Callithrix jacchus: one gene and its partners. The protein of the gene in region 3 purifies or fractionates together with the protein of the main gene of each other region. This does not show direct contact. Links are inferred from orthologs where the notes say so. Each region holds a gene or a part of one and is shown on either strand. Other genes may lie near its edges.

What was found. The genes of interacting proteins can lie anywhere in the genome.
Region 1: the proteins of PTPRO (region 3) and SDF2L1 purify together in Homo sapiens (affinity purification with mass spectrometry; 3 studies listed by BioGRID and IntAct, with this or other methods). This does not show direct contact. The link is inferred for Callithrix jacchus from reciprocal best matches to the Homo sapiens genes PTPRO and SDF2L1.
Region 2: the proteins of PTPRO (region 3) and DNAJB11 purify together in Homo sapiens (affinity purification with mass spectrometry; 3 studies listed by BioGRID and IntAct, with this or other methods). This does not show direct contact. The link is inferred for Callithrix jacchus from reciprocal best matches to the Homo sapiens genes PTPRO and DNAJB11.

Annotation. Positions count from the first base shown.
Region 1 is NC_133502.1:193,604,615-193,608,495, forward strand, and holds SDF2L1 (stromal cell-derived factor 2-like protein 1), read left to right. Parts: upstream 1-1,413; 5' UTR 1,414-1,419; coding exon 1,420-1,606; intron 1,607-1,959; coding exon 1,960-2,156; intron 2,157-2,979; coding exon 2,980-3,261; 3' UTR 3,262-3,381; downstream 3,382-3,881.
Region 2 is NC_133516.1:15,553,799-15,558,006, forward strand, and holds the start of DNAJB11 (dnaJ homolog subfamily B member 11), read left to right. Parts: upstream 1-1,408; 5' UTR 1,409-1,632; coding exon 1,633-1,700; intron 1,701-2,825; coding exon 2,826-2,982; intron 2,983-4,208. UniProt on the Homo sapiens protein: As a co-chaperone for HSPA5 it is required for proper folding, trafficking or degradation of proteins.
Region 3 is NC_133510.1:7,817,273-7,820,772, reverse strand, and holds part of PTPRO (receptor-type tyrosine-protein phosphatase O), read left to right. Parts: intron 1-2,186; coding exon 2,187-2,630; intron 2,631-3,500.

The DNA.
Region 1 (3,881 bases), on a different chromosome or scaffold from region 3:
TTTTACATTTTTAGTAGAGACAGGGTTTCACTATATTGACCAGGATGGTCTCGAACTCTCGACCTTGTGATCCAGCTGCCTCGGCCTCCCAAAGTGCTGGAATTAACAGACATGAGTCACAGACCCCAGCCCACTTTTTTTTTTTTTTTTTTGAGACGGAGTTCAGCTCTTGTTACCCAGGCTGGAGTGCAATGGCATGATCTCAGCTCACCACAACCTCCGCCTCCTGGGTTCAGGCAATTCTCCTGCCTCAGCCTCCTGAGTAGCTGGGATTACAGGCACGTGCCACCGTGCCCCGCTAATTTTTTGTATTTTTAGTAGAGACAGGGTTTCACCATTTTGACCAGGATGGTCTCGATCTCTTGACCTTGTGATCCACCCGCCTTGGCCTCCCAAAGTGCTGGGATTATAGGCGTGAACCACCGCGCCCGGCCTTTTTTTTTTTTTTTTTTTTTTAAAGACAGGGTTTCACTCCTGTTGCCCAGGCTGGAACGCAATGGCACAATATTGGCCCATTGCAACCTCCACCTCCTTGGCTCAAGCAGTTCTCCTGCCTCAGCCTCCTGAGTAGCTGACACTTCAGGTGCGTGCCACCACACTCAGCTAATTTTTGTATTTTGTACTAAAGTAGAGATGGGATTTCACTATGTTAGGCTGGTCTTGAGGTCCTAACCTCAGGTGATCTGCCCACCTGAGGTCACAATTCAAGACCAGCCAGGCCAACATGGTGAAACCCGTCTCGATTAAAAATACAAACTTCAGCCCTGTGAGGTGGCACATGCCTGTAATCCCAGCTATTCACAGGACTGAGGCAGAAGAATCGCTTGAACCCAGGAAGCAGAGGTTTCAGTGAGCCGAATGACTTGGGTTTCATTAATTTCGGGGTCCGGGGACTCAAGGACCAGGCGATTCAGTGACTCTTACTTTGTAACCACAAAGTTTAGTGATCTAACAACCTCAAGACCCTGCCCGTGCGGGCCCAGGTTCTGAAGGGAGAGACTCAATACTGAGGACCCAAGAGTCCAGGGCCAAGGGAGTCGTGAACACGTGCCTGCAGAGCCCTAGGATCCTGAGCCGGTGTACAGGGACTGAGCGGCCGCTGGAGTCGGCGTCCTCACTAACTGCTCTCTCTCACTTGCCGCCGCTTGGCTTCTTAGCCGCCCTTTCCTGGACACTCATTGGTAAGACATTGGAAGCGTGGACCAATCAAAGCCCTCCTCGTGTCTCTAGTCCCCGCCCAGCTACTCCTCTCGAGAGCTGGAGGCGGCCCTTCTGCGCGCCGACCCAATGGCATTGCAAGCCGAGCACCGCGCGGGCCGACCATTGGCTGCCGCGAGCGGCCGCTGTCAGAACCGGATTGGGCCGCGGTGGGGACGGAAGCGGCCCAAAGGCCGGAGCGGCTGGAGCCTGGCCGGGGAGATGTGGATCGCGGGCTGCGGCGGGGCTACCGGGCCGGTGCTGCTGGGGCTGCTACTGGAGCTCTTAGTGCCGGGCGGTGGTGCCGCCAAGACCGGCGCGGGGCTCGTGACCTGCGGGTCGGTGCTGAAGCTGCTCAATACGCACCATCGGGTGCGGCTGCACTCGCACGACATCAAATACGGATCCGGTGCGTGGGGCCCGCGACTGGGAGAGCGCCAGGGACGGGGGCTCGGGGTCGGGAGTGTGGAGACAGGGTGGTCGTGGGGGGTCTGTGGCCCGTCTCAGAGCCGGGAGGCGAGGGCTCTAGAGCCGTTGGGGGATCGAGGGGTGCAAGGCTTTGAGGGTGTCGACGATATTGAGGGCGGGGACAGCTGTCGGGGAACTGCGGGCCCAAAGACTGAGGGGGGTGTCAGACGGGGGCCGGGGCTGGGGCGAGATGTTGGGGTCCCCCGGGAAATGTTACGGTCCCAGGGCGAGGATCCGGGGGTTCCGGGATTGACAGAGACCCTGGGTGGGGTGGGGTGGGGTGTCACCCCTCAGGCAGCGGCCAGCAATCCGTGACCGGCGTGGAGTCATCCGACGACGCCAATAGCTACTGGCGGATCCGCGGCGGCTCGGAGGGCGGGTGCCCGCGCGGGTCCCCGGTGCGCTGCGGGCAGGCCGTGCGGCTCACGCACGTGCTCACCGGCAAGAACCTGCACACGCACCACTTTCCGTCGCCGCTGTCCAACAACCAGGTGAGCCCCTCCCGGAGCCCCCAGAGAGACTCCTGGCCTGTGGGAGGCGCCGGAGACAGCGCCGTGGGCTCCAATGCGAGCCTCAGCTTCTTCGTGAAATGGAAATTTCACTTCAGAGATGGTTACTGAGCGCCCTCTCGGGGGACACAGAGTAACTCTGCCAGGGTCCCGCCCCCAGGTGCTCCCGGCCTGGCAAGGAGACCCACGGGAATAAAGATCCGGAGAGATCCGCCTAAATCACTCCTCTGGGGGCAAGTGGGACCCAGGAGGGGAATCCACACAGCCCTTGAAGGTGGGGAATAGGAAACTCCACAGGGGAGGAGAAACTCAGGCTGGGTCTGAAAAGATGTCCTCCAAGCCACAGAGGGAAAAGAGGGACTGCCCAAGCCAGCAGAAGAGATTGTGCCAATGCATGGAGGTCATTGGAATTCAGGGGGTTGAGATTGAACAGTGGGTGTCCTTGGGGAGTTGGTGGAAGAAAATGTTGAGATAGAGAGCTTGACTGTTAGCCTGAAGGGCTGAATTTTAGGCTGATCCCAAGGTGCATCAGAGAAGTTAGGACTGGGAGAACATGGAGGAGGAGGCAGCTCCGTGGGGGCCAGTGGTCTCTGCACAGACAGATGCAATGGTGTGTGTATGTGTCTGAAGAGCCCGTGTGGGGAGGGAGTGCTCGAGGTTGGGGGACTGGGGTCATGGTGTCACCGTTTGCAGCTGTGGGAGCTGAGGCTCTGGGAAGGGCAGGGAAGGACCTGAGGCTCAGTGCACTAGGTACGAATGCTGCCTTCTGTGGTGACCGCTGTCCCCTCACCTTCTGCACCTGTAGGAGGTGAGTGCCTTTGGGGAAGACGGCGAGGGTGATGACCTCGACCTATGGACAGTCCGCTGCTCTGGACAGCACTGGGAGCGTGAGGCCGCTGTGCGCTTCCAGCACGTGGGCACCTCTGTGTTCCTGTCGGTCACGGGTGAGCAGTACGGAAGCCCCATCCGTGGGCAGCATGAGGTCCACGGCATGCCCAGTGCCAACACGTACAATACGTGGAAGGCCATGGAAGGCATCTTCATCAAGCCTAGTGTGGAGCCCTCTGCAGGTCACGACGAACTCTGAGTGTGGGGATGGGTGGATGGAGGGTGGCAGGTGGGACATCTGTAGGGCCACTTTTGGCAGAGACTTTGGGTTTGTAGGGGTCCTCAAGTGCCTTTGTGATTAAAGAATGTTGGTCTATAATTCTGTTTCACTGTGAACCTGAGGATGACCAGGAGGTGCCAGTCCAGGACTAGCTGATCATCTCTCCCTCAGTGTAAAACCTGTCTCCAGCCCAGCCTAACTGCTGAACCTGTCCAAACCCTTTATTGTTGTTGTTGGGGTTTTTTGGGGGGGTTTTGCTTTTTTAGAGATGGTCTCACTCTGTTGCCCAATCTGGAGTGCAGTGGCATGATCATGGCTTACTGTAAACTTGAACTCCTGGGCTCAAGTGATCTTTCCAATTCAGCCTCCTGAGTAGCTGGGACTGCAGGCACATACCACCATGCCCAAATAATTATTATTTCTGATGAGACAGGGTCTTGGTGTATCATCCAGGCTGGAGTGCAGTGGCAATGATTGTAGCTCACTGCAGCCTGGGCTCAAGTGATTTTCCCACCTCAGCCTCCCAAGTAGCTGGGACTACAAGCTTGTGCCACCATGCCTGGCTAATTTTAAAAATTGTGCTAGTGGAGACAAGGTCT
Region 2 (4,208 bases), on a different chromosome or scaffold from region 3:
GGGATTTTATTCTAAATGCAAAGGAAGAGTCATTCCAGGATTTTAAGCAGGGGAGTGACATGATTTGACTTTTATTTTTATTTATTTTATTTTGAAATGGAGTCTAACTGTTGCCCAGACTGGAGTGCAGTGGTGCGATCTCCACTCACTGCAACCTCCACCTCCCAAATTCAAGGGATTCTCCTGCCTCAGTCTCCCGAGTAGCTGGGATTACAGGCGCCCGCCACCACACTCAGCTAATTTTTGTATTTTTAGTGAGACAGGGCTTCATCATTTTGGTCAGGCTGGTCTTGAGCTCCTGACCTCAGGTGATCCGCCTGCCTCGGTCTCCCAGTGTGCTGAGATTACCGGTCTTTTTTTTTTTTTAATTATGGAGTGGGGGACAGGATGAGCAACATCTATTAAGGTATTAAGGAAGATATTAAGAGTAGGGGCAGACAGAACAGTTAGGAGACCCTGGCCAGGTGAGAGATACTCTGTGATCCAGAGACCCCGTAATGGAGATATAGTGGACAGATTCAAGTATAGTTCAGGGGTAAAGATTTGGATAGCTTATACATGAAAGGAATAAAAACACCGAGAGTTTTGTCCTGATCAACTAGGTGTTGTGTAACTGTGATGAGTAAAATTCGGGGAAGAGGGGGAATCAACTGCTTGAACTGTAATAATGGTTTTTATTCATTGCCTGCTTACCATGTGCCCAACGATTTACAGATATTTTTTCCCTGTAAAAATTCCCTGTAAAAAACAGCACTGCCAATAAGTACTTTGCCTTAGTTTTGCTGATAAAAAAAACTTAGGCTCAGACTCGGGAGGAGAAGAGGGATAGGGGAGTCTCACCTCTAAGTGGTGGAAGCTTAATCCTATCGTCACGGTCGGCTTTCCGAGACGGTTGCCTTAAGGAGTTGCTTGGAGAACGTAAAATAAGAGTCCGAAGCAATGCGTCCGATGTACAGCAGTCGTGGAATAACTGTACCGGCCCATTCTGCCGCTATACCTCTGCTCCCGCTTTCGGCGCGAAGCTGGATATGAATGAAATTCCATACTTGTAACAGAGAGAAAACTTTTCTCCCGCAATTGGTCAGTGCTGGGGAGGAGCCTCCTGATTGGTGAGAAGCCCGAGGAAGTAGGCGAGCCGGAGGGGATTTCTTGTACCTCAGGGGGCCCCCTCGGTCGACCCCGCCCCCTACTTACGTAATTTTCTACGACTCGGGGTAGCTCGGGCAGAGCCGGTTCCTGCAGCGGCGCAATCCTCTGACATCTCTTCTTCTAATTGGTCGGGAGCTGCGACTGCAATTCTGAAGCCTAACTGGCTGCCCTTGCCGCCTCGGAGGTGAAGTGTACTGCGCTGATTGGCTTCCAGGCGCCGGCCGCGTGTGATGTCCGGGGCAACGATTGGCTCTCGCCTGCTGGGGACTTCTCTCACTGGGACTCGGGACTCCCGGGAAGTGGACTGGTAGAGGACGGGGCTAGCTAGCTGTCTCTTCGGACCAAGGAGGAGACCCACCCCCCCGCGCCCTCCGGTGTGAGGCGGCCTCCCAGGGCCGGGTGGGCTGGCGAGCCGACGCGGCTGCGGCGGCGGAGGAGGAGGCTGTGAGGAGTGTGTGGTACACGACCCGGGACAGAGGAACCATGGCTCCGCAGAACCTGAGCACCTTTTGCCTGTTGCTGCTGTACCTCATCGGGGCCGTGATTGCCGGGTGAGGAGTAGACACGGGGCCGGTGGGTCAGCCTTTGCTGGGGGTGGGAGGGAGTGGGGGATGTGGCATTGCCAGACTGAGGGAGTGGAGAGGGGCATCGCTGTGGGGTGACGGGATGACTGAGGAAGGGGTAGTATGGGCCTGGCTAGTGGGGTGAGAGGAGAACCGTGGGTGACACCAGTGAGAGGGCTTTACGTCTAGAGAGGGCCTTAGGTAGAGCTAGATTTGCCCAGAGGAGTGGGAGTTGGATGAATTGCCAAATGGCATTTGGGGGATGAGGAGAGTTTGAGGGCAAGAAGGTGGTTGTGAGCTGAAGCAGTGTCACGTAGAGCTGGGGAAGAAAGAGGGGTGACTGACTGTATGGCAAGGTAATGACAGTGTCAGGCTGAGGTTGGGGGGATGGACGTTTTGTTTGATCGAAGAGGTGGGTTGCTGTGCCCCGCTGAGCTGGAGAAGCGGATGATACTCTATGCCAAGCCTGCAACGAGTCACTGGGGGGCCGACATTAAAGTGGGTGGATAATGCCAGATCGAGTTGGAACTGAACAAAATCGGATGGGGGAGGGGAGCAAGAAGACCCTTGGAGAGCCCTTGTACTTCCCAGCTTCTTGAGCTATGTATTATCTTCGGTTGCTTCATCTTTAAAGTTCTGGCAGTGCTACTGTTAGAACATTTAAGTGGCATAATCTTTTTAAATAAGGAAAGTCATCCTTTGAGAATGTTATTTGACTTTTAGAAAAGTCAAAAGTCATTTGGAGCCAGTATAGGGAAAGGGAGGAAGAGTTCATTTGACTATATGATTATTGCCTAAAAATAACATGAGACCGTAAAATAAGGAAGCGGTTTTCTTGATTGAAGGTGGCTCTAAAAGAAGAGTTCCACAGATGTTTTGAATAATCTAAAAAGAAGTATGTAGCCTCTTACTGTGATTACATCAATATATAATATTCATTACAAATTCTGGTGTTGTCTTTTTAGTCATACTTTGTGTGTGTATGTGTCGCATAACCCATTTTTGTATTTCTTTGCTCGGATACAAACCCAAATGTAGGGGAAAAATTTTTTTTGCTTTTAAAAATCTAACAGATAACTCTTTAATGAAGTATTCTCTCCCTCTACTTCCCAGGCGAGATTTCTATAAGATCTTGGGGGTGCCTCGAAGTGCCTCTATAAAGGACATTAAAAAAGCCTATAGGAAACTGGCCCTGCAGCTTCATCCTGACCGGAACCCTGATGATCCACAAGCCCAGGAGAAATTCCAGGATCTGGGTGCTGCTTATGAGGTGAGTCCTAAAAAATGATAAAGTATGAATAAAATCTGTAGGTGTAGAAAAAGCATTTACTACAGAGAAACACTCCTTTCAGTTCACTTTTATTTATTATTATTGTTGTTATTATTTTGGGGGGGGACTAAGTCTTGCTCTATTGCCCAGGCTGGAGTGCAGTGGCACATCTCCACTCGCTGAAACCCCCGCCTCCTGGGTTCAAGCAATTCTCCTGCCCAGCCTCCCGAGTAGCTGGGATTACAGGCGCACGCACCACACCCAGCTAATTTTTCTATTTTTAGTAGAGACAGGGTTTCACCATGTTGGCCAGGCTGGTCTCAAACTTCTGACCTCAAGTGATCTGCCCACCTTCTTAGCCTCCCAAAGTGCTAAGATTACAGGCATGAGCCACTGCACCCAGCCAAGGTCACTTTTATTTAAAAACTAAACAGTAGATAAAAGTAAAAGTAGTACTTGATGCTGTATTGTATTAGATATTAAATTCACATTAGTAGATGCCATTTTCTTCCTTTTTATATTAATATTCCAGAATAATGTTGAAAAAGAATAAATGACAGATGATAGATTAATAAGTAGATCAACTGGTCTATCAGTCAGTTTGGGAGCTAGAGCCAAGAATAAAAAGAAAACCTTCATGAGAGTTGCAAGCCTTAAATGACCATATGAACTAGACAAATGACATGCAAGGCAGATATAAATTAAAACATGGCAGCAGATATTCTGCCTCTGTATTGGGAAGCAATAAGGATTGCTGAGGACTTTGACAAACTGAAGGCTCCTTGCCCTATTTCAAGGGGACAGTTGTTACTCAACCCCAAACAATTTTTGTCATATAAATGCAAATAGTATTTTCCTAGATGATTTAATTTTTCAAGAAAAGTTGAAAATCTAGATTTTTATATAAATTCTGCTTGTGAAAACTAATTCAGTTAAATTTCTTTTTTACATAGATCAACAAAGCACAGTTTTAATTTGATTTTGCAACCTCTAATCTGGGGGTCAAAACACTTTCATGTGTATCATCTCATTTAATCTTTACTAGGACACCAGGAAATATAGTAGAGCTAGGCATATTTTCTTATTTTTTAAATGGACACAGAAGAAAATTAATTGAACTAAAAGTCACAGAGCTAAAACTCCCAAATTTAAGTTAAAATTCTTGTATATTGAGAAGGCTAGAAACAAATTGAAAAATATTTTAGGAAGACACAAATCTCAAAAGA
Region 3 (3,500 bases):
AGCTAATTCAATTATATTTTGCTGCATATTTATTTTTTATCCTAACAAATATTCTGATCCAGACCAAAGAAAGAAAATATATATGTTTAATAACCTAAAATAATTTTCTATCAGTGTAAAAAGAACTGACCAAAATATTCAATAAGAAAAATCTAAAACATGTCAATGCAATCATAGATTTGTAATATTTGAATAAAAAGCTACATGATATTACCAAAGGTTATAATTAAGTAACTCACCTGGATCTGGTAGACATCAGTTATTGCGGACAATTGGCCCTATGGCAGAAAAAGAGAGAGAAGACATACACATTATCAGATTATTAAAGGAAGATATTGAAATTCAAATGTATCTAAAACTTGCAGTATTTAATTTTTGTAGCATCACTAATATGAAGCACTATTGTAGGATGGATGGATGGATGGAAGAATGGAAGAATGGATGGATAAAATAAGCATTATTAATAAGTACCCATCACAAAAATAAGCAACACTGTATGTGCCTAATGTGACTGAGTACTCAATAGGAATGCTGGAGAGGCCATTCTTGTGAGTCTCAGGAAGGGATTATGATAGATTACTTCTAAAGCCTTGGCAGTTTGAAATTCTAAGCTGTCATCATTCTTATTCATTAGTCCAAGACCAGGAAACTGTTTCAGCTAAATCACGAATTCACCTAATGTCAACATTTAAGATTCTATTTGTGTTTTTCATTATTCCAGGTAAGAAGTAAAAACATTAATTGAATACATTCTACTTGGAAGTTGTTCTAAATATTGAGAGATGAAGATAAGACTGATGAGATAGGGTCTTTGTCCTAAAAAAATGGTACAAGTACCACACAAATGGCTGTCATACAAGGCAGACTGAGATAAATATTGTAAAAGAGGTACACAGTGATTTAACAATACACAGGAAAGAGATAAATTTTATTAGAAGCTCATGTGGACAGGCGCAGTGGCTCATGCCTGTAATCCCTGCACTTTGGGAGGCCGAGGTGGGTGGATCACCTAAGATCAGGAGTTCGAGACCAGCCTGACCAACATGGTGAAACCCTGTCTCTACTAAAAATACAAAAATTGGCTGGGTGTGCTGGCAGGAGTATATAATCTCAGCTACTTGGGAGGCTGAGGCAGGAGAATCACTTGAACCCAGGAGGCAGAGGTTGCAGTCAGCCGAGACCATGCCATTGCACTCCAGCCTGGGCAAAAAGAGCAAAACTTCACCTCAAAAAAAAAAACAAAAGGAAGTTCGTGAAAGAGGTGATAATTGAACTGCTAATGAAGGACAAGTAGAAATTGTTACAGGCCCTGTAATCCCAGCACTTTGGGAGACCGAGGCAGGTGGATCACGAGGTCAAGAGATCGAGACCATCCTGGTCAACATGGTGAAACCCCGTCTCTACTAAAAATACAAAAAATTAGCTGGGCATGGTGGCGCGTGCCTGTAATCCCAGCTACTCGGGAGGCTGAGGCAGGAGAATTGCCTGAACCCAGGAGGCGGAGGTTGCGGTGAGCCGAGATGGCGCCATTGCCCTCCAGCCTGGGTAACAAGAGCGAAACTCCATCCCAAAAAAAAAAAAAAAGAAATTGTTACAGGCAAAGACTATGCAGTGTGTCTTCATAATTTTTCTCCATAAGTAAAGTGTGCTCCCATAATTTATAAATTCGTTTTGTGCTCATATGTGTCATTTTGGAGAGGTCATATTTTTAACATGAGTGTTAACATCTCTAAGGGCAACACATGTATGCAACTATTCTAAGTGCAACTGTGTCACATGAAGTATTTTCACCTTGATAGCTGTAAATACACTATACTTGTTTTTTCTTTTTGTAACAAAAATCCAGAAACAGAGATTCATTTTTTGTAATTGAGATTATGATAAACTGAAAAATATTTACATACTCTGCTTTTAGAAGTGGTTAAATTACCACTTCAACAAGCATAATATTGCAAGTTAATATATCTGAAGTGATATATTAATAGGTACACATCGTCCACAAAATTTTAGAAGTATGTATATGGAAAAAGACACACTTTATCTTCATGTAAATTTGTCTACGTATTAGAAATAAAATTAAATTCCATTTTTAAAAATCTGCTTGTGTACCTGACTCATGAAGAGATTAAGTATTCACTATAATTGAACTAAAAATTACTTGAAAATGAAAATTCTCTCTCTTACAGCCCCTTATCCACCTCAAAATATTTCTGTTCGTATCGTAAACTTGAACAAAAACAGCTGGGAAGAACAGAGTGGGAATTTCCCAGAGGAATCCTTCATGAGATCGCAAGACACAACAGAAAAAGAAAAACTCTTCCATTTCACAGAAGAAACCCCTGAAATTCCCTCCGGCAACAATTCTTCCGGTTGGCCTGATTTTAACAGCCGTGACTATGAAACTACATCCCAGCCCTATTGGTGGGACAGTGCATCTGCAGCTCCTGAAAGTGAAGATGAATTTGTCAGTGTACTTCCCATGGAATACGAAAATAACAGTACGCTCAGTGAGACAGAGAAGTCAACGTCGGGCTCTTTCTCCTTTTTCCCTGTGCAAATGATATTGACCTGGTTACCACCCAAACCACCCACTGCTTTTGATGGGTTCCATATCCATATTGAACGAGAAGGTAAAGCAGTAGGAAATCAGAGGAAATAGAACTGATGCAAAGGAAGGGAAATTGAAATGTTTTAAAATATGAGTTTAGAAAGACTGATCATAGACAGTTAATATCCAAAGAATAATGGTAAAGGAAGGGAAGAATTTAATTGGGTATCCAATGCAGACTGAGAGCAGAAAACCCAAATGAATAGACTGGATAAGAATCAGAAGGTTTAAGTGATTCATAAGTTGTAAGTACTGCCAACTGTATACATTTTACTGCTCAACATTTCACATGCCTCAGAACAACGAGGAAAATATCATCTCTGGAAATATTTGGAATTAAAGATCTGACTATCCCAGAAAATTACAGCATATCCTAGAGAAATTTTCTGTTTTCTTATATGCAAATTTCTGAAACATGGCATCAAAGTAATACTTACGAAAACATTACTACTTCCTCAAGAATAGGAGGCTTGTGTCCTGCTAACCAGCCTCTCTTGTTCCCTTTAGGGTGTGCCCCTCTGGAACCAGAACCGCAGTTTACCAAAGAGAAGCTGATAGTAAAATGGAAAATACCCAGCAACTGCCATTTCCATATAGCTACCATAGCGTCTGAGAGTCACTCCTTTTATTTTAGCCCCGTGACTTAGGAAAATAGAGCCATGACTTTCAACAAGTCTGGGTCATGATTCCCATCTCAATAGTTGTTTGGTAGATTTTTATGGTTATTTGATATTTATTTAGTTTTTACAGCAATGTACTTCATTTTCCATTTTCCAATCTAGTAGTTTGGGTTGCAGAGGTTATAATTTATAAAAATTTAAAGTTACAATGATAGCCTTATTTTTAGAATAAGGCTTTCAGGCCCATGTAGTCTCATACTGGCACACTCTGT